Anolis sagrei: one gene and its partners. The protein of the gene in region 1 interacts with the protein of each later gene in a pairwise test. Links are inferred from orthologs where the notes say so. Each region holds a gene or a part of one and is shown in the gene's direction. Other genes may lie near its edges.

Evidence for each region.
Region 2: the proteins of C12H11orf68 (region 1) and CSDE1 interact in a two-hybrid assay, tested with the Homo sapiens proteins (2 studies listed by BioGRID and IntAct). The link is inferred for Anolis sagrei from reciprocal best matches to the Homo sapiens genes C11orf68 and CSDE1.
Region 3: the proteins of C12H11orf68 (region 1) and EIF4H interact in binary tests that used the Homo sapiens proteins (3 or more experiments, as listed by UniProt). The two-hybrid records come from large-scale screens. The link is inferred for Anolis sagrei from reciprocal best matches to the Homo sapiens genes C11orf68 and EIF4H.

What each region holds. Positions count from the first base shown.
Region 1 is NC_090032.1:9,783,890-9,794,282, forward strand, and holds the start of C12H11orf68 (UPF0696 protein C11orf68 homolog), read left to right. Parts: upstream 1-6,144; 5' UTR 6,145-6,152; coding exon 6,153-6,256; intron 6,257-10,393.
Region 2 is NC_090024.1:203,340,709-203,351,549, reverse strand, and holds the start of CSDE1 (cold shock domain-containing protein E1), read left to right. Parts: upstream 1-5,996; 5' UTR 5,997-6,105; intron 6,106-10,841. UniProt on the Homo sapiens protein: RNA-binding protein involved in translationally coupled mRNA turnover.
Region 3 is NC_090031.1:32,717,396-32,727,993, forward strand, and holds the start of EIF4H (eukaryotic translation initiation factor 4H), read left to right. Parts: upstream 1-6,528; 5' UTR 6,529-6,597; coding exon 6,598-6,656; intron 6,657-10,598. Other genes in the region: MYBBP1A (myb-binding protein 1A), read right to left, coding at 1,300-1,464. UniProt on the Homo sapiens protein: Stimulates the RNA helicase activity of EIF4A in the translation initiation complex. Binds weakly mRNA.

The sequences.
Region 1 (10,393 bases):
ATCCCACAACAAGCCAGGGATGAGCTTGCAGCACTGCCTAGTTTAGAAGTCAGCAATGCCATCAGCCAACAGAAGAATAACAAAGCCAGTGGACCAGATGGGATCCCTGCTGAAATCTTTAAAGAGGGAGGACCTGAGCTGACACAACAGCTCCTACAGCTCATAGAAAAAGTGTGGGTGACCGAGAAAATCCCAGCAGATTTCAAGGATGCCACCATCATCACCCTCTTCAAAAAAGGGGAAAGAACAGAGTGCGGAAACTATCGAGGTATCTCCCTCCTAACCTCCGCTGGGAAAATCCTCGCAAGAATCCTTGCAAACCACCTTCTGCCCCTCTCAGAAGACACCCTCCCAGAATCCCAGAACGGCTTCCGCCCTTCCAGAGGAACCGTGGACATGATCTTCACTGCACGACAGCTCCAAGAAAAATGCAGGGAACAAAACCAACCTCTGTACATGGCATTCATCAACCTTGCAAAGGCATTCGACACAGTGAATCGCAGCGCTCTCTGGACCATCCTCCAAAAAATCGGGTGCTCAAACAAATTTGTGAACATCCTGCGGTTCCTCCATGATGGCAACAGTCTTGGGCAGCAATGGCTCCCAAAGTGACCCATTTAAGGTGGAATCAGGCATCAAACAGGGATATGTTATTGCCCCAACGTTATTTTCAATCTTCATCGCTATGAGACTTCATCTTGTTGATTCCCACTGGAGTGGAAATCATCTATCGGACAGATGGCAAGCTATTTAACCTTAGCAGACTGAAAGCCAAAACCAAGGTTACAACAACATCTGTTATAGAACTCCAGTATGCTGATGACGATGTCGTCTGTGCACATTCAGAAGAAGACCTACAAGTCACTCTAAACACCTTCTCAGAAGCACACAAGAAGCTCGGTCTGTCATTGAACATCGAGAAAACCAAAGTGCTGTTCCAGCAGTCACCAACCAATCCCTCTCCAATGCCAGAAATACAGCTTAATGGTGTAACATTAGAAAATGTGGACCATTTCCGCTCCCTTGGCAGACACCTCTCCACAAAAGTCAACATTGACACCGAAATACACCGCCTCAGCTCTGCCAGTGCAGCATTTTTCCAAATAAAGCAGAAAGTGTTTGAGGACCAGGACATCCGTAGGGAGACTAAGCTGCTTGTTTATAAAGCTATTGTCCTCCCAACCCTGTTCTACGCCTGCGAAATGTGGACTGTCTACAGATGTCAACATTGACACTGAAATACAACACCGTCTGAGCTCTGCGAGTGCAGCATTTTGCCAAATGAAGCAGAGAGTGTTTAAGGACCACAACATCCATAGGGAGACCAAGGTGCTTGTTTATAAAGCTATTGTCCTCCCAACCCTGCTATATGCCTGCGAGACGTGGACTGTCTACAGACGTCACATGTAACTCCTGGAACGATTCCATCAGCACTGCCTCCGGAAAATCCTGCAAATCTCTTGGGAAGACAAGCGGACAAATGTCAGCGTGCTAGAAGAAGCAAAGACCACCAGCATTGAAGCGATAGTCCTCCGCCATCAACTCCGCTGGACCGGCTACATTGTCCGGATGTCTGACCACTGTCTCCCAAAGCAGTTGCTCTACTCCGAACTCAACAACGGAAAACGGAATGTCGGTGGGCAGGAAAAGAGATTTAAAGATGGGCTCAAAGCCAACCTTAAAAACTACGGCATAGACACTGAGAACTGGGAAGCCCTGGCCCTTGAGCGCTCCAGTTGGAGGTCAGCTGTGACCAGCAGTGCTGTAGAATTTGAAGAGGCACGAATGGAGGGCGAAAGAGAGAAACATGCCAAGAGAAAGGCGCGTCAAGCCAACCCCGACAGGGACCGCCTTCCACCTGGAAACCGATGCCCTCACTGCGGGAGAAGATGCAGATCAAGAATAGGGCTCCACAGTCACCTACGGACCCACCACCAGGATGCTACACTTGGAGGACCATCATCCTCGGACTACGAGGGATCGTGTAAGTAAGTAAGTAAGTGTATATGTGTGTGTGTATACATATATATGTGTGTGTGTGTGTGTGTGTGTATTTGCGTGTTTATATGTGTACATGCATATTGTGTATATGTGTGTGCTTGTGTGTGTTTGATTTTTCTCTGTATTATTTTTTTATTATATTTTTATGCTTTACTTATCCTATTGCGATGTTTACTTCATGCTTTTGTGTTATGTTGTTGTTATGTTATTGTAATCGTACTACCGGGCTTGGCCTCATGTAAGCCACCCCGAGTCCCATTCGGGGAGATGGTGGCGGGGTATAAATAAAGATGATGATGATTATTATATGCATATTTGTGTGTATATATGTGGAAATGTGTGCATGTGTATATGTATTTCGTCACTGTATTGTCGAAGGCTTTCCTGGCCGGAATCACTGGGTTGTTGTAGGTTTTTTTCGGGCTATATGACCATGTTCTAGATGCATTCTCTCCTGACATTTCGCCTGCATCTATGGCAAGCATCCTCAGAGGTAGAGATTTCGTTGGTATCTTGTCACTATCTATCACATTCAGATATTGAGGTGATCCTATGAATATTATTTCGTCACTATCCATCACATTTAGATATTGAGAGGATCCTATTAATTTCATTACTATCGATCACATTCAGATAATGAGATGATCCTATACATATTATTTAGTCACTGTTGATCACATTTAGATATTGAGAGGATCCTATTAATATTATTTCGTTACTATTGATCACAGTCAGATATTGAGATGATCCTATGAGTATTATTTTGTTACTATCAATCACATTCAGATAATGAGATGATCCAATGCATATTATTTCATCACTATCAGACACATTTAGATATTGAGAGGATCCTATTAATTTCATTACTATTGATCACATTCAGATATTGATGGGATCCTATATTATTTCGTCACTATCTTATCACATTCAGATGTTGAGATGATCCCATGCATATTATTTTGCCACTATTGATCACATTTAGATATTGAGAGGATCCTATGAATATTATTTCATTACTATTAATCACAGATATTGAGAATCATAGAATCCTAGGGTTGGAAGAGACCTCATGGGCCATCCAGTCCAACCCCATTCTGCCAAGAAGCAGGAATATTGCATTCAAATCACCCCTGACAGATGGCCATCCAGCCTCTGTTTAAAAGCTTCCAAAGAAGGAGCCTCCACCACACTCCAGGGCAGAGAGTTCCACTGCTGAACGGCTCTCACAGTCAGGAAGTTCTTCCTCATGTTCAGATGGAATCTCCTTTCTTGTAGTTTGAAGCTATTGTTCCGCGTCCTAGTCTCCAAGGAAGCAGAAAACAAGCTTGCTCCCTCCTCCCTGTGGCTTCCTCTCACATATTTATAGATGGCTATCATATCTCCTCTTAGCCTTCTCTTTTTCAGGCTAAACATGCCCAGCTCCTTAAGCCGCTCCTCATAGGGCTTGTTCTCCAGACCCTTGATCATTTTAGTCGCCCTCCTCCGGACACATCCCAGTTTGTCAATATCTGAGGTGATCCTATGAGTATTATTTCGTTCCTATCGATGACATTCAGATGAGATGATCCTGCGCATATTATTTCATCACTATCTATCACATTCAGATATTGAGGTGATCCTATGAATATTGTTTCATCACTATTGATCACATTTAGATTTTGAGAGGATCCTATTAATTTCCTTACTATCGATCACATTCAGATATTGATGTGATCCTATATTATTTTGTCACTATCTATCACATTCAGATATTGAGGAGATCCTATGCATATTATTTCATCACTACTGATCACATTTAGATATTGAGAGGATCCTATTAATTTCCTTACTATCGATCACATTCAGATATTGATGAGATCCTATATTATTTTGTCACTATCGATCACATTCAGATATTGATGAGATCCTATATTATTTCGTCACTATTGATCACATTTAGATTTTGAGAGGATCCTATTAATTTCCTTACTATCGATCACATTCAGATATTGATGAGATCCTATATTATTTCGTCACTATCGATCACATTTAGATATTGATGAGATCCTATATCATTTCGTCACTATCGATCACATTCAGATATTGATGAGATCCTATATTATTTCGTCACTATCGATCACATTCAGATATTGATGAGATCCTATATTATTTCGTCACTATCGATCACATTAAGATATTGATGAGATCCTATATTATTTCGTCACTATCGATCACATTGAGTTATTGATGAGATCCTATATTATTTCGTCACTATCGATCACATTCAGATATTGATGAGATCCTATATTATTTCGTCACTATCGATCACATTCAGATATTGATGAGATCCTATATTATTTCCTTACTATCGATCACATTCAGATATTGATGAGATCCTATATTATTTCGTCACTATTGATCACATTTAGATAATTGAGAGGATCCTATTAATTTCTTTACTATCGATCACATTCAGATATTGATGAGATCCTATATTATTTCCTTACTATCGATCACATTCAGATATTGATGAGATCCTATATTATTTCGTCACCATCTATCACATTCAGATAATGAGATGATTCTATGCATATTATTTCGTCACTATTGATCACATTTAGATATTGAGAGGATCCTATTAATTTAGTTACTATCGATCACATTCAGATATTGATGTGATATTATTTCGATATTGAGGTGATCCTATGAATATTATTTTGTCACTATCAATCACATTCAGATATTGAAAGGATCCTATGAATTTCATTACTATCGATCACATTCAGATATTGAGGTGATCCTATGAATATTATTTCATCACTATCAATCACATTTAGATATTGAGAGGATCCTATGAATATTATTTCATTACTATCAATCACATTCAGATGAGATGATCCTATGCATATTATTTCATCACTATTGATCACATTTAGATATTGAGAGGACTCTATTAATATTATTTCGTCACTATCTATCACATTCAGATATTGATGTGATCCTATATTGTTTCGTCACTATCTATCACATTTAGATATTGAGAGGATCCTATTAATTTCGTTACTATCGATCACATTCAGATATTGATGAGATCCTATATTATTTCGTCACTACTGTTCACATTCAGATAATGAGATGATCCTATTAATTTCCTTACTATCGATCACATTCAGATATTGATGAGATCCTATATTATTTCGTCACTATCGATCACATTCAGATATTGATGAGATCCTATATTATTTCGTCACTACTGTTCACATTCAGATAATGAGATGATCCTATTAATTTCGTTACTATCGATCACATTCAGATATTGATGAGATCCTATATTATTTCGTCACTACTGTTCACATTCAGATAATGAGATGATCCTATTAATTTCCTTACTATCGATCACATTCAGATATTGATGAGATCCTATATTATTTCGTCACTATCGATCACATTCAGATATTGATGAGATCCTATATTATTTCGTCACTACTGTTCACATTCAGATAATGAGATGATCCTATTAATTTCCTTACTATCGATCACATTCAGATATTGATGAGATCCTATATTATTTCGTCACTATCGATCACATTCAGATATTGATGTGATCCTATGTTATTTGTCACTATTGATCACATTTAGATATTGAGAGGATCCTATTAATATTATTTCATTACTATCCATCACATTCAGATATTGAGATGATCCTATGAATTTCATTACTATCGATCACATTCAGATATTGATGTGATATTATTTCGATATTGAGGTGATCCTATGAATATTATTTTGTCACTATTGAAATGATCTTGTAATAATAATAATAATAATAATAATCAGATATTGAAATGATCTTATAATAATAATAATAAGGATAATAATATGCTATCCATGAGGTAAAACACTACAAGCACTTTGTTTTGGCCTTTTTGCAATAACTATATTTTTTAAAATCCCCAAATCCCTTCAAATAGAGATGGAAACACAGCCCAGAATCATCAATATGAATATCCCACTCAAAGTCTTCTGAAACCCTAGAATGATAGGTTTGCCATGGAAGAGGAGAGCAGCTTGGCCTTGGGACTGAAGGGGTGCTGCTCTGGATCACAAGTTATGGCGTCACTTCCGGTTTGGCTTCCTCTCTCTCACCTCCAGAGCCCTCCTAGAGCGTCCCGATGATTGTTTTCTTTCCGGCGTGTCTCCGTCACTTCCGGTTGTGCGCCTGGCATGAAGAAGGGGCGCCCGGCCCGGAAGAGCGCCCGAAGGCCTTCCTTTCCAGGTGTGGGCCTGGGCCTAGGAGAGGCCTACTTGGGGGGCTCCCTTCTGGGTGTTTTGGACTCCAACTCCCACCATTCCTAACAGCCTCAGGCCTATTCCTTTTCCCCCTCAGCCGCTTAAGCGGCTGAGGGGGAAAAGGAGAAGGCCTGAGGCTGTTAGGAATGGTGGGAGTTGGAGTCCAAAACACCCAGAAGGGAAGGCCCCAAGTAGGCCTATGCCTTCTCTATACTCCTCTCTCTCTCTCTGTCTCTCTATATGTCCTTCTATCCATATCCATCTCCCTTTCTCTCTCTATAGATCTTTGTGTTAAGATCTACCTCTCTTTCTCTGCCTATCCATACTTATTTTTTATTTATTTACTAGCATGGGGTCTCGGGAAGTGAGTGGAGGTACTTCAAGTCCCATCGCCCATGGTCCATGCTCCTACAAACTGCACCAGGATGTAGAGAGGGTCATGGGGGCTTTGTGTGCCAAATTTGGTCTCGATCAGGCATTGGATGAGGGTCACAGCAGTTTGGGGAAGTGTGTGAAGGTACTTCAAGTCCCATCATCCATGGTCCATCCTCCTCCAAACGGCACCAGGATGTAGAATGGGTCATGAGGGCTCTGTGTGCCAAGTTTGGTCTTGATCAAGCATTGGATGAGGGTCATAGCAATGAGTGGAGGTACTTCAAGTCCCATCATCCATGGTCCATCCTCCTCCAAACTGCACCAGGATGTAGAATGGGTCATGGGGACTCTGTGCCAAGTTTGGTCTTGATCAAGCATTGGATGAGGGTCGTAGCAGTCTCAGGAAGTGAGTGAAGTACGTTTGGTCTTGATCAGGCATTGGATGAGGGTTGTAGCGGTCTCGGGAAGTGAGTGGAGGTGCTTCAAGTCCCATCATCCATGTAGAGAGGGACATGGGGGCTCTGTGTGTCGAGTTTGGTCTTGATCAAACATTGGATGAGGGTCGCAGCAGTCTCGGGAAGTGTGTGAATGTACTTCAAGTCCCATCACCCATGGTCCATCCTCCTCCAAACTGCACCAGGATGTAGAATGGGTCATGCGGGCTCTGTGTGCCGAGTTTGGTCTTGATCAAGCATTGGATGAGGGTCGTAGCAGTCTCGGGAAATGAGTGGAGGTAATTCAAGTCTCATCGTCCACGGTCCATCCTCCTCCAAACTGTACCATGATGTAGAATGAGTCAGGGGGGCTCTGTGTGCCAAGTTTGGTCTTGATCAGGCATTGGATGAGGGTCGTAGCAGTCTCAGGAAATGAGTGGAGGTGCTTCAAGTCCCATCATCCACGGTCCATCCTCCTCCAACCTGCACCAGGATGTAGAGAGGGTCATGGGGGCTCTGTGTGCCAAGTTTGGTCTTGATCAAGCATTGGATGAGGGTCGTAGCAGTCTCGGGAAGTGAGTGAAGTACGTTTGGTCTTGATCAGGCATTGCATGAGGGTTGTAGTAGTCTTGGGAAATGAGTGGAGGTAATTCAAGTCCCATCATCCATGGTCCAACCTCCTCCAAACTGCGCCAGGATGTAGATTGGGTCATGGGGGCTTTGTGTGCCAAATTTGGTCTTGATCAGGCATTGGATGAGGGTCATAGCAGTCTTGGGAAGTGAGTGAAGTACATTTGGTCTTGATCAGGCATTGCATGAGGGTCGTAGCGGTCTGGGGAAATGAGTGAAGGTGCTTCAAGTCACATCATCCATGATCCATCCTCCTCCAAACCGCAGTAGCATGTAGAATGGGTCATGAGCACTCTGTGTGACAAGTTTGATCCTTATTGGTCATTGTTGGGGGCCGCAGTGGACTGTGGGAACTCGAAGTGTTGGAAAATACTACAAATCACATCATCCATTGTCCATCCTCCCCCAAACCTCACCAGGACATAAAAGAGATCATGGGGGTTCTCTCTGCCAAGTTTGGTTTTGATCAGTTGTTGAATGAGGGTCGCAGCGGCCTTGGAAAGCGAGTGGAGGTACTTCAAGTCCCATTATCCATGGTCTGCCCTCCTCCAAACCGCAGTAGGATGTAGAGTGGATCATGGGGGCTCGGTATGCCAAGTTTGGTCTTTATCGGTCTTTGTTGGGGGCCACAGTGGTCCCTGGGAACCAAACTGTTTGAAAGTACTACAAATCACATAATCCGTGGTCCATCTCCCCCAAACCGTACCAGAACGTAAAGGGGGTCATGGGGGTTATGTGTGCCATGTTTGGTCTTTTTCAGTCATTGGATGAGGGTTGCAGCGGTCTCGGAAAGCGAGTGGAGGTACTTCAAGTCCCATCATCCATGGTCTGCCCTCCTCCAAACTGCAGTAGGATGTAGAGTGGGTCATGGGGGCTCAGTGTGCCAAGTTTGGTCTTTATCGGTCTTTGTTGGGGGCCACAGTGGTCCCTGGGAACCAAATTGTTTGAAAGTATTACAAATCCCATAATCTGTGGTCCACCTCCCAGGACGTAAAGGGGGTCATGGCGGTTATGTGTGCCAAGTTTGGTCCAGGTGCGTCACCCGTGTTGGTCACAGTGGCCAGTGAAAGTGGCAGCCGATCAGAAAGCTGCCACATACACCTTCCTATGTCCGCCCTCTACATACAGACATTCACTTTTATTAGATAGATAGATAGATAGATAGATAGATAGATAGATATAGATTTCATATCAAAAGTAATCTGTATAAGGACCAAGTAGCAACAGTCAGAACTGACCGTGGAACAACAGACTGGATCAAGATTGGGAAAGTCGTACGGCAGGGTTGTAACCTCTCCTCCAACCAATTCAACTTGTATGCAGAACACATCATGTAATATGCGGGGCTTGACGAATGCAAGGATGGGGTTAAAATTGCTGGAAGAAACATTAACATTAGATATGCAGATGACACCACTTTGATGGTTTTTTCCCCAGGCACTGCCAAGCCATCAAATGCTAATCAAGGTGGTCAGTTGAAACATTCACACCTAGCTCTGGCAAACAAGAGTCCTTTGTCCCACCCTGGTCATTCCACAGATATATAAACCCATTTTCCTACTTCCAACAGACCTCACTACCTCTGAGGATGCTTGCCATAGATGCAGGCGAAATGTCAGGAGAGAATGCCTCTAGAACATGGCCATATAGCCCGAAAAAACCTACAACAACCCAATTATAATATTGTATTATTATTAGTATTATATTATATTACATTGTTGTTGTTCATTCGTTCAGTCGTTTCTGACTCTTTGTGATCTCATGGACCAGCCCACGCCAGAGCTCCCTGTCGGCCGTCACCACCCCCAGCTCCTTCAAGGTTAATCCAGTCACTTCAAGGATCCCATCCATCCATCTTGCCCTTGGTCGGCCCCTCTTCCTTTTTCCTTCCATTTCCCCCAGCATAATTCTCTTCTCTTATAAATATTATATGTATATACAATATATTATATTATTAGTAAAGCACAGGAGACAAGATGGAACTGACTTCTGCCCCTCTGTCTCTTCTCTCTCTCTCTATATGCATCTTTCTATATCTCTCTTGCTTCCGTGTTCCCTATTATATATCTCTCTGTATTTATTTCTCTATATTTATATTCTCCTGGTTCCCTCTTATCCATCTCTTTCTATATATTTCTGTCTCTTGATTTTCTTTTTCTGTCATCTCTCTGTATGTACCTTTGTCTCAAGAGTTTTTATCTGTATTTCTCTCCGAATATTTCTCATAATAATAATAATAATAATAATAATAATAATAATAATTTTATTTCTTACCCGCCTCTCCTTTGTGGCTGGAGGCAGATTACAGAATATTCAAAACACATAAACATTGTTATACACATATTAAAATGTATTTTTAAATAAAAGATACATAGGTTGTTGTAGGTTTTTCCGGGCTATATGGCCATGTTCTGGAGGCAATTTTTCTCCTGACGTTTCGCCTGCATCTATGGCAAGCATCCTCATTACCTCTGAGGATGCTTGCCATAGATGCAGGCAAAATATCAGGAGAAAAATTGCCTCCAGAACATGGCCATATAGCCCTGAAAAACCTACAACAACCCATGGATTCCGGCCATGAAAGCCTTCGACAATACAAAAGATACATATTCTATCCATATCCATTTTCTCTCTTTGTGTATCTTTCTGTATCTCTCTCTTGTTTCCGCGTTCCCTATTATACC
Region 2 (10,841 bases), on another chromosome or scaffold:
GTAGGCTTCTCTCATGTCCCTGCATGAGAAGCTGGAGCTGACAGACAGGAGCTCACCCCGCTCCCCAGATTTGAAATTCAGACCATTTGGTCAGCAGTCCTGCTGGCACAAGGGTCTAACCCATTGCACCACTGGGGGATCCTGCACTACCCGCTGAGAACCATCTCAGGGTGTGGCTCAGATGAATGGTTGATACATGTTTTTTTCTGCAGAATAAAGATTCTGTTCATTCTTAAAACATAATTTTGATCTCCTCGGGTAGGAAGTGTTTATTGTCCCATCAAAAAAAGTATAAACCTCAATTTAAAAAAGTGAAAAGCCCATGAGTACAGACTACTATTCTGTGACAAGCAACACTTGCTGAAATTTCCTCTTCTACACACCTGTTAAAGGTACAGGAGTCGAGTCCCCTCCAGTTTCCACTCCAGCAACACTACCTGTATGTGTTGTGAAAATATCCACCTGTTTGATCAGGGTATTATTTTAAAACATGTGCTTTCTCAAGAGTCAACAAATGAAGTGTCTCAAGTCTATCTTTACTCTGTTTTTTCTTTTCTTTTTGTCATGAAGAAATATGGAAGGAAACAAAGTAAATGAAGATAAAGAATTGTGGGAAGTGAAACAGAAATACATGTTACTGAACTGGGAAAGCTGAAAACACTTTTGAGTGACCCTAGGCTAGGGTTGGGTAGATTTTAAACCTGTGAGATCTAATTTGCCAGTTGCTCCAGACATGAAGAAAAGTCTCCAAAAGCCCCAGGATTGTTTCTGTACAACCTGATTTCATTTATTTTTGTACGTGATGTTTTCTCCATCCACAACTATTTCCAGAGAACTCGTGGTATTAACAAGAACTTTTCATTCCTACTCTTGGGGTCAGCTTAAATTAACCTAGTATTTCCTAGTGAATTTGCCCCTAGTAGCAAGAAATTGGTTAATTGGGGGAGTCAATATGTCCTTCAAGGCTGGTTTGCCTCCCTTGTGTGATGGTCCTATGACATACAATCAGAGGGAGGGAGAGAAGGAAGAACACAAGGTAAGGAGAAGTAAACCCAAAATATTTCAAGGAGTTTATATGCAAACCATAAAAAATGTAAATCTCAATACTTCCAGAGACATTGTTATCTAGTTAAGCCCTGCTTTTTATTAATCCGACACAGAAATCTATGTGCCAGATTCAGATGCAATATCGATAGTTTGGTGCAACGTAGTTGACAGTTAAGGGTTTGTCTGAATGCACACACTCAGACTTAAGATTTGGTGATCATTGACTGAAGCAAGTTCAAATTCTTCTTACACAAAAACTGTTCCTGTCCCCATCCCCAGATGTTGGGGGCTGCTCTCATCAACCTGATTTCAAAACAAAGTCTGTTTTGAGCAAACTAATTTCAGTGTGTGATTTTGAGTAACTCTAGTTTGACTCCAGCATTAAAGGAGCCCTGCCAGTGATTTAAAAAGCAGTGTTTCAACAAAAGACATCAAAGCCTAGGAGGCACAGCATGGTTTCCAGGAAATCAGTGTTTTAGCAAAAAGCCCTACTCGGTGGCTTTTTCTACGATTCTGGGGAGAGGAAATCCCCTTCAGTTCAGTTCTAAGATAAATGTCCAACTGGTTTCTTCAGCCATGTTACCGGGTACATGTCTTAAGAAAAAGGCAGTAATGTCATTCCCTAAATGCCACACATTGTCACACTGCCCTAATAGAGATGTTACAACTTGCTTGACCTGGCAAATCACTCACCTGATCTCCTGTCATTATGGGTATTGCCTCAATGCAGTAAGTCTGACTGTAGATTAATTTCCTCGCCTGGGAGTTATTGAAGCTTAATGTTTGAGTGATAGTGTTCTACAGCCTTGGAGCACTCCACACTGAAGAGTCACAATTATTTAGGAGTTATATTTCTGGAGATGCTTTCTAGTTTCAGCCTTTTCATTATTTCATAGAACAATATATATCTATTCTAGTTGGGGGCAAACCAAGAATGGGCAATGTGGAAATCCCTGAACAGACACAGAAGTGAAGTGGGCAGATCAAAAGACAACCTGACAAAATGGCACTACCTAAAAGAATCCTCCACCTTGTGTGACTGTGGGGCAGAACAAACAACTCCGCATCTGTATGCTTGCCCACAATGCTCTGCCTCATGCACAGAGGAAGAATTGTTTAAAGCTGCAGACAATGTGGTTGCTGTTGCCCATTTTTGGTCTAAAATTATGTAGCTGCTTGTGCTCCCTCTATTTTATCAGTTTTATACTTGTTTTATTTACGCAATGCTTTTGACATGAAATAGTCTGGGATAGAGGGTTATATAATTTGGACATCTTGACAGCAGTTTTATGTTTTCAATACTTTTGTGTGTTATGTTTAATTTGACTGAAATAAATTTGGATAGGTTCCTTTATGCACAGACCCATAGATCTTTCTTACTCTGGACCAGACAATTGATCTATTTAATTCAGTAGTTCTACCATAATGAATGGAAGTCTTCTAAAACATAAACCAATTAAGATAACATAGCAGCATTTATTATTTCATATGCATACCAAAAAAGGGAAATGCGAAAGACTGCTCAAACTTCCGTACAGTGGCCCTTATTTCTCATGCCAGCAAGGTAATGCTCAAGATCCTGCAAGGAAGACTCCAGCAATACATGGAGCGAGAGTTGCCAGATGTTCAAGCTGGGTTTAGAAAAGGCAGAGGAACGAGAGACCAAATTGCCAATATCCGCTGGATAATGGAGAAAGGCAGGGAGTTTCAGAAAAACATCTACTTCTGCTTCATTGACTATTCTAAAGCCTTTGACTGTGTGGATCATAATACATTGTGGCAAGTTCTTAGTGGGATGGGCATCCCAAGCCACCTTGTCTCTCTCCTGAGGAATCTGTACAAGGACCAAGTAGCAACAGTAAGAACTGACCATGGAACAACAGACTGGTTCAAGATTGGGAAAGGCGTACGGCAAGGCTGCATCCTCTCACCCAACCTTTTTAACTTGTATGCAGAACACATCATGCGATGTGCGGGGCTGGATGAATGCAAAGCTGGGGTGAAAATTGCTGGAAGAAACATTAACAACCTCAGATATGCAGATGACACTACTCTGATGGCCGAAAGCGAGGAGGAGCTGAGGAGCCTTCTAATCAAGGTGAAAGAAGAAAGCACAAAAGCCGGGTTGCAGCTAAACGTCAAAAAAACCAAGATTATGGCAACAAGAATGATTGACAACTGGAAAATAGAGGGAGAAACCGTGGAGGCTGTGGCAGACTTTGTATTTCTAGGTGCAAAGATTACTGCAGATGCAGACTGTGGCCAGGAAATCAGAAGACGCTTACTTCTTGGGAGGAGAGCAATGTCCAATCTCGATAAAATAGTAAAGAGTAGAGACATCACACTGGCAACAAAGATCCGCCTAGTCAAAGCCATGGTATTCCCTGTAGTCACCTACGGATGTGAGAGCTGGACCTTAGGGAAGGCTGAGCGAAGGAAGATCGATGCTTTTGAACTGTGGTGCTGGAGGAAAGTTCTGAGAGTGCCTTGGACTGCGAGAAGATCCAACCAGTCCATCCTCCAGGAAATAAAGCCCGACTGCTCACTGGAGGGAAAGATACTAGAGACAAAGTTGAAGTACTTTGGTCACATCATGAGGAGACAGGAAAGCCTAGAGAAGACAATTATGCTGGGGAAAGTGGAAGGCAAAAGGAAGAGGGGCCGACCAAGGGCAAGATGGATGGATGGCATCCTTGAAGTGACTGGACTGACCTTGAGGGAGCTGGGGGTGGTGACGGCCGACAGGGAGCTCTGGCGTGGGCTGGTCCATGAGGTCACGAAGAGTCGGAGACGACTGAACGAATGAACAACATGCATAATTACAATTTGCCAGGTAGCCTGGTATTAGGCCCATGTTGCAGTCTGGAGGAAGCAGATTAAAAGACAACAGTTTACCTAAGGTTAATTCATGTCTGGAGTAAGATTTGGGCTTGTTTGTTACTAGATGCAGCTCTATATGTTATGCAGCCACAATTCTTAGAGCATTGAGATGGCCTTCATATAGCTGAGATGGGGCAGGCTTTGAATATATATATTTGGTCATATATATTTGAACATATAGTTGGCCAGACCTCACCTGAAATAACACTGTTAATTCAAGTAGGATATTGACAAGCTGGAACATGTTCAGAGAAGGCAACCAAAATAATCAAAATTTGGAAGCCAAGCCCTGTGAGTGGCCAAGGGAGCTGGGTGAAAGGAGAAAGGAAGCTTGGAGAAAGGAAGGCTAAAAGGGGACATGGTCACCATGTTTCAATATTTCAAATGATTTCATAAGGAAGAGGGAGAAGGTTTGTTTTCTGCTACTTTGGAGGTGCTACATGGAGCAATGGATTCAAATTACAGGAAAAGAGATTCCACCTAAATCTTAGGAAGATTATAATGTATTTTTATTTTTTGGCTTTTAAGTCTCTTCCGCTATGTTTTCCAGTGTTTTTATGAGTGACGGTCACTTGTTGGGTGTGATAGGTGTATTGTGTCCAAATTTGGTGTCAATTCACCCAGTGGTTTTTGAGTTATCTTAATCCCAAAAACAAACATTAAATTTTTATTTATGTAGATCTTGATATTAGAGGTTTTTTGAGAGACTCCCTCCTGGGCACACAGAAGACTGGGCGACTTGGAAGGCGCTGAACAGACTGCGCTCTGGCACCATGAGATGCAGAGCCAACCTTAAGAAACGGGGCAAAAAAAGGGGAATCCACGACATGCGAGTGTGGAGAAGAGCAAACCAGTGACCACCTGCTGCAATGCAACCTGAGCCCTGCCACATGCACAATGGAGGATCTTCTTGTGGCAACACCAGAGGCACCCCAAGTGGCCAGATACTGGTCAAAGGACATTTAATAAACTACCAAGCTTGCAAATTTTGTATTATGTCTGTTTGTTTGCTTTGTTCTGTTAGAAATGTAATATGTAATATAATTGACTGGCTGCCCTAACACGAAATAAATACAGTACCCTAAACACGGCTGATCTCGGATTGACAGCCACAGCTTGAGGTTCAAACCATTATATCACATTTCATGATTTCCTTCCCTCTCATTTTCCTATCTACCTTTCTTTCTCCCCTTCCTCTGTTTTGGAGAGAGCATTTCCTCCCTTATTTTTTTTTTGGGGGGGGGGGGGGGGAGGGGAATAGAGAAAGGAAAGGAGATTTAAGAAGCAAGAGAGCAATGGAGAGGATTCCTACCAAGCTTGCACATTTTGTGTTTTGTCTGTTTGTTTGTTTTGTTCTGTTAGAAATGTAATACAACTGTCTGGTTGCCCCTGACACAATAAATAAATAAATGAATAAAAAAGTGCTTGACATTTGGAAGTTGTAGTTCCTGGGATTTATAGTTCACCTACAATCAAAGAACATACTGAATTCCACCAGCGATGGAATTGAACCAAACTTGGCACACAGAACTCCCATGACCAACAGAAAATACTTAACGGATTTGGTAGACATTGGTCTTGAGTTTTGGAGTTGTAGTTCACCTACATCCAGAGAGCACTGTGGACTCAAACAATGCACCAGACTTGACACAAATACTAAATATGCCCAAATGAGAACCCTGGTGGAGTTTGGGGGGAAATGGACCTTGACATTTGGGAGTTGTAGTTGCTGCGATTTATAGTTCACCTACAATCGAAGAGCATTCTTTGGGCCAAACTTCCCACAGAGAATCCCCACGACCAATAGAAAATACTGTGTTTTCTGATGCCCCCCCCCCCCCCCCCGTCCCGACTCCCAGGTTGAGAAACGCTGTTATATGGCATCGGCTCAAGAGGCACAACTCATGTCACGTTCCCTGGCACCTCTCCCTCCCGCCTTTCTGGCCCAATCTGCGTGCGCATGCGCCTTGCCTTCTTACTCGACCGAAGCCTCACCGCGCCTTGCCCTCCTCTTAATCGCCCCGCTCTTCCGCGCATGCGCCCACCCGCCCTTCTTTCTCTCTCTCTCTCCCCCTCCCTCCCCGGCCCCGCGAGTCTCGCGAGAAGCCGGGATTTATTCCTACGTGCTGTGCCGTGCTGCTCATGGCGGCGCTGGAGCGGGGGCGCTGAGCTGTTGGGGTAAGCGGGGCTCCTCGAGGGCGGGGGGCGCCTTCCCTGGCTTCGGGGGGAGGCCGGAAAGGGCGGGGGAGCTGGGTAGGCCTCCTGTCACGGCGGTCCCGGGCGCCAACGGTCCGGAGGGGCTGCTCCCCCTCCCCTTCCCCTCCCGCCGTGCGTGCGCGCTCGCTTCCCTTTTGCCCCGAGAAGGAGGGAGAGAGGAGGAGAGGGAGGCCGCGGCGGGCTGGGAGTGCTGCCTCTTTCCCCTTCGCCTCAGCCGGGGAGAGAAAGCGCTCGCAGTGGGCCCGAGCCTTGGCAGCACTACACTTCCCGGCGTGCACTGCGGGTCTTTGCCCATTGCTCTCTCCCTCCCCTCCCGCGGGGGCCGATGGGGGATGGAGTTTGGCGGCGCCGTGGTGTTGAAAGCGGCGGCGGAGTGTGCCTGCCAGGGGCCTCGCCGCTTGGCCTGCTGGGGGATGGAGTTCCGGCTCCCGCCGCCTCTCGGTGCGGAGAGAGGGGTGCGAACTCTCTCTCCCGGCATGCAGCGGGCCAATGCAGGGAGGGGAAGAGCAGGTCAATCTTCCTTTGTGTGAGGGGGAGCGGGCGCCATTTTCCTTTTTTTTTACTCACTCCCCCCAATCTTGGCCAGAGAGGGACACGCCCCAGGCCCTTGTGAGGGAGAACCGGAACGCCTTCGCCTGCAAGCCCCTCACACGGCGTCCGGAGGCCGGCGTTGTGGCGTCCCTGCGCGCCGAGCCCGGGCTTCGGCGTCCCTTTCCCTCCGATGCGGACCCCCACCCTGATTTCCCCTCAGCAGGAGCAGGAGCCACCATCTTGCTGCCCAAGGACCATGTGCCTCGGCGCTTGACAGTGTGATGCTGCATTTTGCGGGGCGAAATGGCCACTCCAGGCCTAACGAGTAGAGACGGAGACAGGGCCACTCTGGTCACTGGAAACCTTTAGATTTAACCTCCAGAGAAGCCGGCGGTAGCCCTTTCAAATCGCAGAAGGCTTTCTTGAGACTGGTGACAAGTAAAACAATGTAAATTAAACAGGATTGTCATATTTTTATGCATACTGCAGGCATGGGCCAACTTGGGCTACCAATATTAAAAAAAAACCTCTAAAATTACAACAACAAAACAATAGAGAGGAAACAAAAAAGGACATCTAATCACCTCTCGACAAAAGATTGCCCCAGGCACTACCAGGCCATCAAATGCTAATCAAGGTGGTCAGTTGAAACATTCACACCTAGCTCCAACAGACAAGAGTTCTTTGTCCCACCCTAGTCATTCCACAGATATATAAACCCATTTTCCTAGCTCCAACAGACCTCACTACCTCTGAGGATGCTTGCCATAGATGCAGGCGAAACGTCAGGAGAGAATGCCTCTAGAACATAGTCACATAGCCCGAAAAAACCTACAACAACCCAACTTGGACTTTCCCTCCAGAGGTTTCTCATTACATTTGTGTGACATACTAACATGTCGCAACAGAGTTTTGATATCCCTGCTGTATAGGCTACTATAAATTAAAAACAAAAGTAAAATGAAGGCTTTGCTACATATTGAAACCCATATGAAACTTTTGCCCCACTCTGTAGAGCAGGCATGGGCCAACTTGGGCTTTCCCTCCAGGTGTTTTGGACGTCAACTCCCAACATTCCTAACAGCCTTAGGCCTTTTTCTCTCCCCCAGCCACTTAAGCTTAAGGAAGGGGCCTGAGGCTGTTAGGAATTGTGGGAGTTGAAGTCCAAAACACCTGGAGGGAAGGCCCAAGTTGGCACATGCCTGCACTATTGAACGTGCCAAAAGTTACATGTGGGTTTCAATATGTAGCAATGCCTTCATTTTTGTTTTATTTTTAATTTATAATACCATATACAGCAGAGATATCAAAACTGTCTGTTGCGACATGTTAGTATGTCACATGAATGTAATGAGAAACCTCTGGAGTCTATGTGAAATAAGCAATAAATCATATATATTTTAGAAATACAAATTAAAGATATGTCCCCATAACGGTTCGTTATTCCAGTTTTTGTGTGTCTTTATATTTCTTGGGGCCCTTCCAGACAGGCCCAATATTCCAGAATCACATCCCAGATTTTTTGCTTTCTAGATTATATGAGTCTGCACTGTCAGATAATCTGGTATAAACAGAAAACTTAGGATCAGATCCTGGAAGGGCCCTTGGTTTTACATCTGGTTTGCTAGTAAAACTGAATTATTGTGTTGCAAAATGATGCATGTTTGGAACATGTATCACAAATATTAAATGTTTGGAAAGCTCTGATACATATAGGAAATAAATTACATTGTGTGAAAAATTCTCTTAAAAACATTTTCATAAAGTAAACATCAGATACCTTTGTGACCTTTGACCCACCTTGTACAACTATTTGGATACAGTATGCTCCTTAAAATACTAAAATATATATTTTAAACCATTGGTTGATGAGCCTTGTATTTGTCTGGTTTGACCCATGCCCATTTGTAATTAATTTGCTTGTTTGGTCTAGAATGGCAAAGAAGTCTACTTCTGTCTTTTACTAAACCATTATTCTTGTTTGAATTAAACCCCTGTTTTATAACTTATACTGGAACTTCGACTGAATTCAGTTGTTCTAAATTTTGTCCATTATTAGAATATTTTAGTGTGATCTTTTGAGAAACTATTCAGAGAAATTTCCAGTTCAGAGAAGTTGGACTTACAAAAAAATAAATACCAAATTATTTTTATTACCAGCTCCACTTTTGTTATGTATTGTTATCTCTGGCTATTAATTCCCTATATCTCCTGATAGTAATTACCTATGTCATTCAGCTAATTTTAGGGTGCTAGCCTATATTCAAATTAATTTGGATAAAAACCTTTAGTAGGTGTCTATATAAATACCATGCTATTGTTCATGGATCGTGTCAATGCCTCCGTTCTTTATGTAGCTACCATTTATTAAACCAGATTTTCAGACATAAACAAAAATTGTGAGACATGAAGCAGAACAAACTAAAAAACACTACTAAGTCATTAGGGGAAAATTACAACTGAACATTCTCCTTACTGTGTTTGACTTGAGCTAATCCTTTGTGAATCCATGTGTTGAGACTGCTGCATTGAAAGCTCAGCAGCTGCACTGGGTGTTTACTGTTGGGAGGAGTATTTATAGCAGCTGAGATGAAAAGTAAAGAATTTAGACCACAGGCGTACACAGTACTGATTTTATTGAAAATATGCCTAAGGCTCTTTCACAACCACATGATTCTACCATCTTATATAGGAAATGTGTGCATATAAACTGATTTATGCTGTCACAGTGCTCAGCATTTCTTGAACTATATTTGTATGCCTCTGTTTCCAAGCATATATGCATATTTAATGAAATGGCCACTAGTTCCAAGCAATCCACATGTTTTGAGTAAATTGAGTTGTGTATGTTTGATTAATTTCATAATTAAAATCTGATCAGTTTTCTTACAGAAATGCTTAAAACAGTCTCTTATTGTAGATTCCTACCCATCATAATCTTATTGGCTTGTTTTGATGTCAAAAACATTCAATTTTTAAAAACGAAATTGCTTGTGCTTTTCTTATGGGTTTTAACTATGCCACTAGTACTAAGTGGTACAGGAAAACACTTTTTAGTGAGAGATGTCATTCCCTAAAGTATAAAATAGGCTAAGGAAAATAAAATAAATATGGAAACAAATGTTTAAAAAACTAGAATACAGTGCTGTTCTCCCTCCCTAGTGTTCTGTAGCTTTTGATTCTGGGTGTACCTATTTCCGTAACAGATCCATAAGTAACTCCTTCCTTTATGGCAAATGCCTCAGCTGTTGCTCAACATCATCCATTCTGCATTCCATGACCAGTGAAAGTTGGGTGTTGGGAAAATTCCATCTGGAGTCAGGTTCATCTGTTCTTCACTACATCTTGAGCATCAGATACAGGAAGGAAACAGGCACCCCCTTGCTCCTAAGAGGAGGCCTGAATGAAATGCTATTGAAGCAATACCCAAAGGAGGACTACACACTTTCCAGGTTTTAAGGGGAGGGACGAGTTCCTTGCGCCTTGCAAAACCACATTTTATATTGCTCCCTGGCCCTAAAAATTGTTTGGTGACCATCTCAGAAGCCTTCAAGGGATGTGAGCGGCCATTTCAGACTACTATCTCTGGCTTGTTTCAGGCCAATGGAAATCTTTTTTAAAAAACTAAGAAAGCATGTATAATTTTGAAAGAAGGCCCAAGGCAAGCCCATTGGAGGTCATAAGGGCTATTTAAATGCTTTGGAGTCTTCTGGGAGCACAATTTTTCAGTTTTAGAATCCCCCAAAATAGGGCTATGGTCACAGTGACCTTGGACCCATATTTTGGCATGCAAATACCCTAAAGGAATGTTAGTAGCATATGGAAGATACTGTTCATTTTTGATGCACAGGATTTGGACACAAGTTTAAATATACAAGTTAAGGGTAACAGTAAATCTTTTTGGTGCATTTACCTGAAATGGTAGAATTGGAAACAATTGATATACTTACATATTTACACTCCTAAAATATTGGCTCTGAACATTACTTTTGACCCATTGGAACTTCGGGGATTGACTTGGAGAAGCCACTTATATCCAGTTTTGCCGCCTTCTGTATAATTATGCTTTTTATGCATGTTTTGTAATTGGCTTGGCGTATTGCTGTTTGTCAACTATTACATTATAGCTTGTCAATATTAGCACAGTAATGTGTAATTATAGAGAA
Region 3 (10,598 bases), on another chromosome or scaffold:
GTCTCCCAACTCTAGGATACTATTATTATGATTATTATTAAGTAGAGGCTGGGTGACCCTCCGTCAGGAGGGATCAGATGGTGTCTTCCAACTCTAGGATACTATTATTATGATTATTATTAAGTAGAGTCTGGGTGGCCCTCTGTCAGGAGGGATCAGATGGTGTCTTCCAACTCTAGGATAATATTATTATCATTATGATTAAGTATAGGCTTGGTGGCCCTCTGTCAGGAGAGATTGGATGGTGTCTCCCAACTCTAGGATGCTATTATTATTATTATGATTAAGTGGAGTCTGGGTGGCCCTCTGTCAGGAGGGATCAGATGGTGTCTTCCAACTCTAGGATACTATTATTATGATTATTATTAAGTGGAGTCTGGGTGGCCCTCTGTCGGGAGGGATCAGATGGTGTTTTCCAACTTTAGAATACTATTATTATGATGATTATTAAGTGGAGCCTGGGTGGCCCTCTGTCAGGAGGGATCAAATGGTGTCTTCCAACCCCAGGATACTATTATTATTATTATTATTATTATCCTGAGTGATAATAATAATAATAATAATAATAATGGGTGACCCTCTGTCGGGAGAGATTGGATGGTGTCTTCCAACTCTAGGATGCTGTTATTATTGTGAATTTTAAGTAGAGGTTGGGTGGTTGAGTTCAGATAGTGTCTTCCAACCCCAGGATGCTATTATTATCATGATTATTGAGTATAGGCTGGGTGACCCTCTGTCGGGAGGGATCAGATGGTGTCTTCCAACTCTAGGATACTATTATTCTCATTATTATTGAGTATAGTCTAGATGGCCCTCTGTTGGGAGGGATCAGATGGTGTCTCCCAACTCTAGGATGCTATTATTATGATTATGATTAAGTGGAGTCTGGATGGCCCTCTGTCAGGAGGGATCAGATGGTGTCTTCCAACTCCAGGATACTATTATTATGATTATTATTAAGTGGAGGGTGGGTGGCCCTCTGTCAGGAGGGATCAGATGGTGTCTTCCAACTCTAGGATACTATTATTATGATTATTATTAAGTGGAGGGTGGATGGCCCTCTGTCGGGAGGGATCAGATGGTGTCTCCCAACTCTAGGATACTATTGTTATGATTATTATTAAGTAGAAGGTGGGTGACCCTCTGTCGGGAGTGATCAGATGGTGTCTTCCAACTCTAGGATACTATTATTATGATTACTATTATTAAGTGGAGCCTGGGTGTCCCTCTGTCTGGTGTCCACGTGTGGGGGTTGGACTAGATGCCCTTTGGGGTTCCCTTCCAAGCCCAAAGACTGACCTTCCTCCTCTCCTTGAGGTGTGCCAGGAGTCCCTGGGTGCCTCCCACGCGCCTCTCCTGCTCGGGCCTGGCGATCTCCCAGAAGAAGTCCAGGAACTCCCGGCTTTGGCCCAAGAGCCTCTCGCCCGCCGAAGAAGAAGCCTCCGCGCCGCCATTGCTCTCCATGCTTGGGAAAAGGAACCGGATGTCAATTCCCGCCTCACGCGCATGCGTATCCGCACCCACTTCCAGGGCAACATCCGGCTCTCGGCTGCCACCGCTCGGAATCGCTTGGTATTGCATGCGGGGAGGTCATTTTGTACTACGATTCCCAGAATTCTTTCCTATGGACAGCCTAGGTAGGGAATCCTGGGAGTTGAAGTTCCTCCAAGCTGGAGTTCTCCTCTACCCAATCCTTTCTTTCCCCATAGAATATTAGAGTTGGAAGAGACCTCCTACGCCATCCAGTCTAACCACATTCCACCAAGACCTCCCAACTAAGGATTCCCCCAGGCATTCACCACCAAGAAGGAGGAAAACCTCCCAACAAAGGATTCCCCCAGGAATTCACCATAAAGAAGCAGGAAAACCTCCCAACAAAGGATTCCCCCAGGCATTCACCACCAAGAAGGAGGAAAACCTCCCAACAAAGGATTCCCCCAAGCATTCACCACCAAGAAGGAGGAAAACCTCCCAACAAAGGATTCCCCCAGGCATTCACCACCAAGAAGCAGGAAAACCTCCCAACAAGGGATTCCCCTAGGCATTCACCACCAAGAAGGAGGAAAACCTCCCAAGAAAGGATTACCCCAGGCATTCACCACCAAAAAGGAGGAAAACCTCCCAACAAAGGATTCCCCCAGACATTCACCACCAAGAAGCAGGAAAACCTCCCAACAAAGGATGCCCCCAGGCATTCACCACCAAGAAGGAGGAAAACCTCCCAACAAAGGATTCCCCCGGGCATTCACCACCAAGAAGCAGGAAAACCTCCCAACAAAGGATTCCCCCAGGCATTCACCACCAAGAAGGAGGAAAACCTCCCAACTAAGGATTCCCCCAGGCATTCACCACCAAGGAGGAAGAAAACCTCCCAACAAAGGATTCCCCCAGGCATTCACCACCAAGAAGGAGGAAAACCTCCCAACAAAGGATTCCCCCAGGCATTCACCACCAAGAAGCAGGAAAACCTCCCAACAAAGGATTCCCCCAAGCATTCACCACCAAGAAGTAGGAAAACCCAGGAATTCACCATCAAGAAGCATTAAAACCTCCCAACAAAGGATTCCTCCGGGCAGTAAGAAGCCAGGCCTTGTAACTGAAAGGGCATTCACCACCAAGAAGCAGGAAAATCTCCCAATAAAGGATTCCCCCAGGCAGTAAGAAGCCAGGCCTTGAAACTGCAGGACCATTCACCACCAAGAAGCAGGAAAACCTCCCAACAAAGTATTCCCCCAGGCAGTAAGAAGCCAGGGCAGGAAACTGCAAAGCCATTCATCAAGAAGCAAGAAAAGCCCCAACAAAGGATTCCCCCAGGCAGAAAGAAGCCAGGACTTCAAACTGCAAGGTCATTCAACACCAAGAAGCAGGAAAACCTCCCAACAAAGTATTCCCCCAGGCAGTAAGAAGCCAGGCCCTGAAACTGCAAGGGTATTCACCACCAAGAAGCTGGAAAAGCCCCAACAAAGAATTCCCCCAGGCAGTAAGAAGCCAGGGCAGGAAACTGCAAAGCCATTCATCAAGAAGCAAGAAAAGCCCCAACAAAGGATTCCCCCAGGCAGTAAGAAGCCAGGGCAGGAAACTGCAAAGCCATTAATCAAGAAGCAAGAAAAGCCCCAACAAAGGATTCCCCCAGGCAGTAAGAAGCCAGGCCCTGAAACTGCAAGGGTATTCATCACCAAGAAGCAGGAAAAATTCCCAACAAAGGATTCCTCCAGGCAGTAAGAAGCCAGGCCTGGAAACCGCAAGGGCATTCACCACCAAGAAGCAAAAAACCTCCCAACAAAGGATTCCCCCAGGCATTCACCACCAAGAATCAGGAAAACCTCCCAACAAAGGATTCCCCAGGCAGTAAGAAGCCAGGCCTTGAAACTGCAAGGGTATTCACCACCAAGAAGCATTAAAACCTCCCAACAAAGGATTCCGCCAAGTCCTGAAACTGCAAGGCCATTCACCACCAAGAAGCAGGAAAACCTCCCTACGAAGGATTCCCCCGGGCAGTAAGAAGTCAGGCCTTGAACCCACAAGGGCATTCACCACCAAGAAGCATTAAAACCTCCCAACAAAGGATTCCGCCAAGCCTTGAAACTGCAGGGCCACTCACCACCAAGAAGCATTAAAACCTTCCAACAAAGGATTCCTCCAGGCAGTAAGAAGCCAGGCCTTGAAACTGCAAGGGTATTCACCACCAAGAAGCAGGAAAACCTCCCAACAAAGGATTCCCCAAAGCAGTAAGAAGCCAGGAATTGAAACTGTATGGCTATTCACCACCAAGAAGCAGGAACACCTCCCAACAAAGGATTCCCCAAAGCAGTAAGAAGCCAGGAATTGAAACTGTATGGCTATTCACCACCAAGAAGCAGGAACACCTCCCAACAAAGGATTCCCCCAGGCAGTAAGAAGCCAGGCCTTGAAACCGCAAGGCCATTCACCACCAAGCAGCAGGAAAAGCCCCAACAAAGGAATCCCCCAGGCAGTAAGAAGCCAGGCCTTGAAACTGCAAGGGTATTCACCACCAAGAAGCAGGAAAACCTCCCAACAAAGGATTCCACCAAGCCTTGAAACTGCAGGGCCACTCACCACCAAGAAGCAGGAAAACCTCCCAACAAAGGATTCCCCCAGGCAGTAAGAAGCCAGGCCTTGAAACTGCAAGGCCACTCACCACCAAGAAGCAGGAAAACCTCCCAACAAAGGATTCCTCCAGGCAGTAAGAAGCCAGGCCTTGAAACCGCAAGGGCATTCACCACCAAGAAGCAGGAAAACCTCCCAACAAAGGATTCCCCCAGGCAGTAAGAAGCCAAGCCTGGAAACTGCAAGGCCATTAACCACCTAGAAGCAGGAAAACCTCCCAATAAAGGATTCCCCCAGGCAGTAAGAAGCTAGGCCTTGAAACCGCAAGGCCATTCACCACCAAAAGCAGGAAAACCTCCCAACAAAGGATTCCTCCAGGCAGTAAGAAACCAGGCCTTGAAACTGCAAGGGCATTCACCAGCCTGGTAAACCCACAACAACCTTGCATTCAAAGCACCCCTGACAGATGGCCATGCAGCCTGTTTCAAATCTTCAAAGCATCCCCAACAGATGGCCATCCAGCCTCTGTTTCAAATCCTCAAATTTATTTATTTATTTACGACATTTATATGGGCCAGCTAACACTTCCGACAAAGGATTCCCCTGATCATAATTAATACTAACAGTGTGCCAAGCTAATAATATAATATATTGTATACACATATTATATTGATCATAATGTTATTATATAATACAATATAAAGCAATATAATAATATCATAACTGTAAAATACATGTAATATTACCAATAAGATTGCACTATAGGACAATATACTAATATATAATACTAATATATTACTAATATTGCTAATATTAGTAATATAATACTAATTATAATGTAATACAACATAATACTAGTAATAATAATTCAATATTATAATTATAATTATATACTTACATTACATGTAATATTAGTAATAATATTACAATATAATGGTATAGTGCAATATAGTAGTATATACTGATACTCTACTATGCTAATAATATAATATATTGTATGAAAATATATATTGTAAGCCGCTCTGAGTCCCCTTCGGGGTGAGAAGGGCGGCATATAAATGCCATAAATAAATAAATAAATAAATAATAGTGTGCTATACTAACACCTCCCAACAAAGGATTCCCCCAGGCAGGAAGAAGCCAGGCTTTGAAGCTGCAAGGCTTTGCAATGGTAATCAAGCTAGCCAATGGTAACAGTCATACTTGCCTCCAACGGACAAGAGTTCTTTCTCCCACCCTGGACATCATTCCACAGGAATATACTCACTCGCGTAGTTTCCAACAGACCCCTCAACCTCTGAGGATGCCTGCCTTAGATGTGGGCGAAAGGTCAGAAGATAATGCTTCTGGAACATGATCAGACAGCCCAGAAAACTCACAACAACCTTGCATTCAAAGCACCCCTGACAGAGGGCCATCCATCTATAGTAATATAGTAATATATAATACTAATAGTGTGCTATACTAACACCTCCCAACAAAGGATTCCCCCAGGAAGGAAGAAGCCAGGCTTTGAAGCTGCAAGGCTTTGCAGTGGTGATCAAGCTGGCCAATGGCAACATTCACACTTGTTTATATATCTGGATGTTCACAGAGATATCAACTCCATTTGACTAGTTTCGAACAGACTCACAACCTCTGAGGATGCCTGCCTTAGATGTGGGCGAAACGTCAGGAGAGAATGCTTCTGGAACATGGGCAGACAGCCCAGAAAACTCACAACCTTGAATTCAAAGCACCCCTGACAGATGGCCATCCATCTATAGTAATATAGTAATATATAATACTAATAGTGTGCTATACTAACACCTCCCAACAAAGGATTCCCCCAGGAAGGAAGAAGCCAGGCTTTGAAGCTGCAAGGCTTTGCAGTGGTGATCAGGCTGGCCAATGGCAACAGTCACACTTGCCTCCGACAGACAAGAGTTCTTTCTCCCACCCTGGACATCATTCCACGGGGATATACTCCTCACTTGCCTTAATATAAGACATTAAATTATAATATAACTTTAGTAGTAGTAGTAGTATAATGTATTACATTAGCCAAGTGGGCTTTACATATCTGGAGATTCCACCTGCACACATTAGGAAGAACTTCCTAACAGTGAGAGCTGTTCAGCAGTGGAACTCTCTGCCCTGGGAGTGTGAGGGAGGCTCCTTTCTTTGAAGATTTGAAATCCAACAGACCTCACAACCTCTGAGGGTGCCTGCACCTCACTTGCCTAGTTTCCAACAGATCCCTCAACCTCTGAGGATGCCTGCCTTAGATGTGGGTGAGACGTCAGGAGAGAATGCTTCTGCATACAGAATGGGAAAACACACTGCTTTTTTTTTTGGAGACAGGCACGCCGCGGGCAGCCCCAAGTTGGGTCCGACTGCGCAGGCGCGAGGGGTAGCTTCGCTTCAGGCAGCGCGGCGGGCAGCCCTGGGCTCGTGGCCCGCTATATAAGCGTGCGCGGGGTCCTGCGGCGCTCGCTCGCGCTCGGGGAGGCTGAGGCGACGGAAGGAGGAGGAGCAGCAGCAGCAGCCATGGCGGATTTCGACTCCTACGACGACCGGGCCTACAGCAGCTTCGGAGGCGGGCGCGGGTGAGCCAGGGCGGACTCTCTCTTCCGAGGCAGAGGGGGAGGCGCCTCGGGCGGGCAGGCCTCCACGCGAGAGCCGGGATTGTGATGCTGGAGGCCTCACCCACACACAAGGCCTTCGGGCCTGCTCGCCTCAAGGCCAGCCTTTGCCGTGGGAATGGACGCCTTTGGGCACGCCTCCCCGTTCTTGGGGTGGCTCCCTGGGCCCTCCCACACAGACAGAGCACAAGCTAGAGACACACAAATGTCACCTTCCTTTATGGGAGGAACACAACTCACAAACCACTGGGGGAATTGACACCACATTTGGACACAAGGTACCTCACAACCCCATGCATCTCCTTCCCTCCAAAAGACACAGAAAAACATAACAGAATGGACTTAAAAAGCCAAAATAAAACACCCCAAATTTACAATGCGTGTGCAAAACCACACATATATATACACAAACACACACATATGCAAACACATACACAGAAAGGGGGAAGGAAGGAGGGAAAGAAGGAGAGAAGGAAGGGTAGAGAAAGAAGAAAGGAGAGAAGGAGGGAAATAAAGAGGGAAATAAAGAAGGAGGGAAGGAGAGAAAGAGGGAAAGAAGGAGGGAAGGAGAGAAAGAAAGGAAAATAGAGAAGGAAGGAAGGAGAGAAAGAGGGAAATAAATAGGGAAAGAAGAAAAAGAAGGAAGATAGTGAAGAAGGGAGGGAAGGTTTGCCACAGCAACGCATGGCAGGTACAGCTAGTCTATAGAAATAAAAATGTCCCATTCATTTGTGGGATTAACACAACTCAAAAACCACTGGGGGAATTGACACCACATTTGGACACAAGGCACCTAACAACCCAATGTATGTCCTTCACTAAAAAAAAAACACACACACACAGAAAAACATAGCAGAAGGGACTTAAAAAGCCAAAACAAAACACCCCAAAAATTACACTGCATGTGCAAAACCACATATATATATACACAAACACACAACTCAAAAACCATTGGGGGAATTGACACCACATTTGGACACAAGACACCTCACAACCCCATGTATGACGCCTTTGGGCACGCCTTCCCGTTCTTGGGGTGGCTCCCTGGGCCCTCCCACACAGACAGAGCACCATCTAGAGACACACAAATGTCACCTTCCATTGTGGGGTGAACACAACTCACAAACCACTGGGGGAATTGACACCACATTTGGACACAAGACACCTAACAGTCCAATGCAGGTCCTTCACTCAAAAAGACACAGAAAAACATATCAGAAGGGACTTAGAAAGCCAAAACAAAACACCCCAAAATCACAACGCATGTGCAAAACCACATATAGATACACAAACACAATGCATGTGCAAAACCATATATATACACACACACACAAACACACATATATGCATATACACACAAAATACATACACAGAAAGGGGGAGGGAAGGAAGGAAAGAAAGAAGGAGGGAGAGAAAGAGGGAAATACAAATGTCTTGTTCGTTTGTGGGATGAACACAACTCAACCACTGGGGGGATTGACACCACATTTGGACACAAGGCACCCAACAGTCCAATGTATGTCCTTCACTCAAAAAGACACAGAAATTACACCCCAAAATTATAACGCATGTGTAAAACCACATATATATATATATATATATATATATACACACAAACACACATATATATACACACATATATGCATATACACACACAAAACACATACACAGAAAGGGGGAAGGAAGGAGGGAAAGAAGGAGAGAAGGAAGGAAAGAAAGGCTAGAGAAAGAAGAAAGGAGAGAAAGAGGGAAAGAAGGAAAGAAAGGAAGATAGAGAAGTAAGGAAAGAGAGAAAGAGGGAAAGAAAGAAGGGTAGAGAAGGAAGGAAGGGGAGAGGAGGGAGAGAAAGAGGGAAAGAAGGAGAGAAAGAAAGGAAGATAGAGAAGGAAGGAAAGAGAGGAGGAGGGAAAGAAGGAGGGAAGGAGAGAAAGGAAGGAAGGAGGGAGAGAAAGAGGGAAATAAATAGGGAAAGAAGGAAAGAAAGGAAGATAGTGGAGGAGGGAGGGAAGGTTTGCCACAGCAACGCATGGCAGGTACAGCTAGTCTATAGAAATAAAAATGTCACATTCGTTTGTGGGATTAACAGAACTCAAAAACCACTGGGTGAATTGACACCACATTTGGGCACAAGGCACCTAACAACCCAATGGATGCCCTTCACTCATAAAAACACTAGAAAACATAGCAGAAAAGACTTAAAAAGCCAAAATAAAACACCCCAAAATTACAACGCATGTGCAAAACCATATATATACATACACACACAAACACACATATATGCATATACACACACAAAACATACACAGAAAGGGGGAAAGGAAGGAAAGAAAGAAGGGTAGAGAAAGAAGAAAGGAAAAGAAGGAGGGAAGGAGAGAAGAAGGAAAGAAAGGAAGATAGAGAAGGAAGGAAAGAGAGGAGGAGCGGAAGGACAGAAGGAAATAAAAAAGTGGAAGGAGAGAAGGAACAAAAGAGAGAAGGAGGGAAGGAAAGAAAGAGAGGAGGAAGGATGAAACCAAACAGCAAAGGAAGCGAGGAAAGAAACAGGTAGAGAAGGAAGAAAAAAGAAGAAAAAGAGGGAAGGAAGGAGAGAAAGAAAGAATGAGGAGAAAGAGGGAGGGAAGGTTTGCCACAGCAACGCGTGGTGGGTACAGCTAGTCTATAGAAATAAAAATGTCACGTTCTTTTATGGGATTAACAGAACTCAAAAACCACTGGGCGAATTGACACCAAATTTGGACACAAGACACCTAACAACCCAATGTATGTCCTTCACTCAAAAAAACACTGAAAAACACAGCAGAAGGACAATATAGTAATATATAATACTAATAGTGTGCTATACTAACACCTCCCAAAAAAGGATTCCCCCAGGAAGGAAGAAGCCAAGCTTTGAAGCTGCAAGGCCAATGGCAACAGTCACACTTGCCTTCAACAGACAAGAGTTCTTTCTCCCACCATGGACATCATTCCATGGTGGGAGAAAAAAGCCAAAACAAAACACCCAAAAATTACAATGCATGTGAAAAACCTCATATATATATACACATACACACACACATATTTCCATATGCACACACAAAACACATACACAGAAAGGGGGAAGGAAGGAGGGAAAGAAAGAAAGGTAGAGAAAGAAGGAAGGAGAGAAAAAGGGAGAGAAAGAGGGAAAGAAGGAAAGAAAGGAAGATTGAGAAGGAAGGAGGGAGAGAAATAGGGAAAGAAGGAGGGAAGGAAAGAAAGGGTAGAGAAGGAAGGAAGGGGAGAGGAAGGGAGGGAAAGAAAGGAAGGTAGAGAAGGAAGGAGAGAAGGAAAGAAAGAAGGGTAGAGAAGGAAGAAAGGAGAGAGGAGGGAGAGAAAGAAGGAAAGAAAGGAAGATAGAGAAGGAAGGAAAGAGAAGGAAAGAAAGGAAGATAGAGAAGGAAGGAAAGAGAGAAGGAAAGAAAGGAAGATAGAGAAGGAAGGAAAGAGAGAAGGAAATAAAAAAGTGAGAGAAGGAACGAAAGAAGGAAGGAAGGAAAGAGACAAGGAAGGATGAAACCAAACAGCAAAGGAAGCAAGAAAAGAAACGGGTAGAGAAGGAAGGAAGAAGAGAAAGAAAGAAGGAGGAGAAAGGGAGGGAAGGTAGGCCACAGCAACACGTGGCAGGTACAGTTAGTCTATAGAAATAAAAATGTAATGTTCGTTTGTGGGATTAACACAACTCAAAAACCTCTAGGCGAATCGACACCAAATTTGGACACAAGTTACCTAACAACCCAATATATGTCCTTCACTAAAAAAAAATGATTTTGTTATTTGGGAGTTGTAGTTGCTGGGATTTATCGTTCACCTACAATCAAAGAGCATTCTGAACCCCCACCAACAATGGAATTGAACCAATCTTGGCACACAGATCTCCCATGAGCA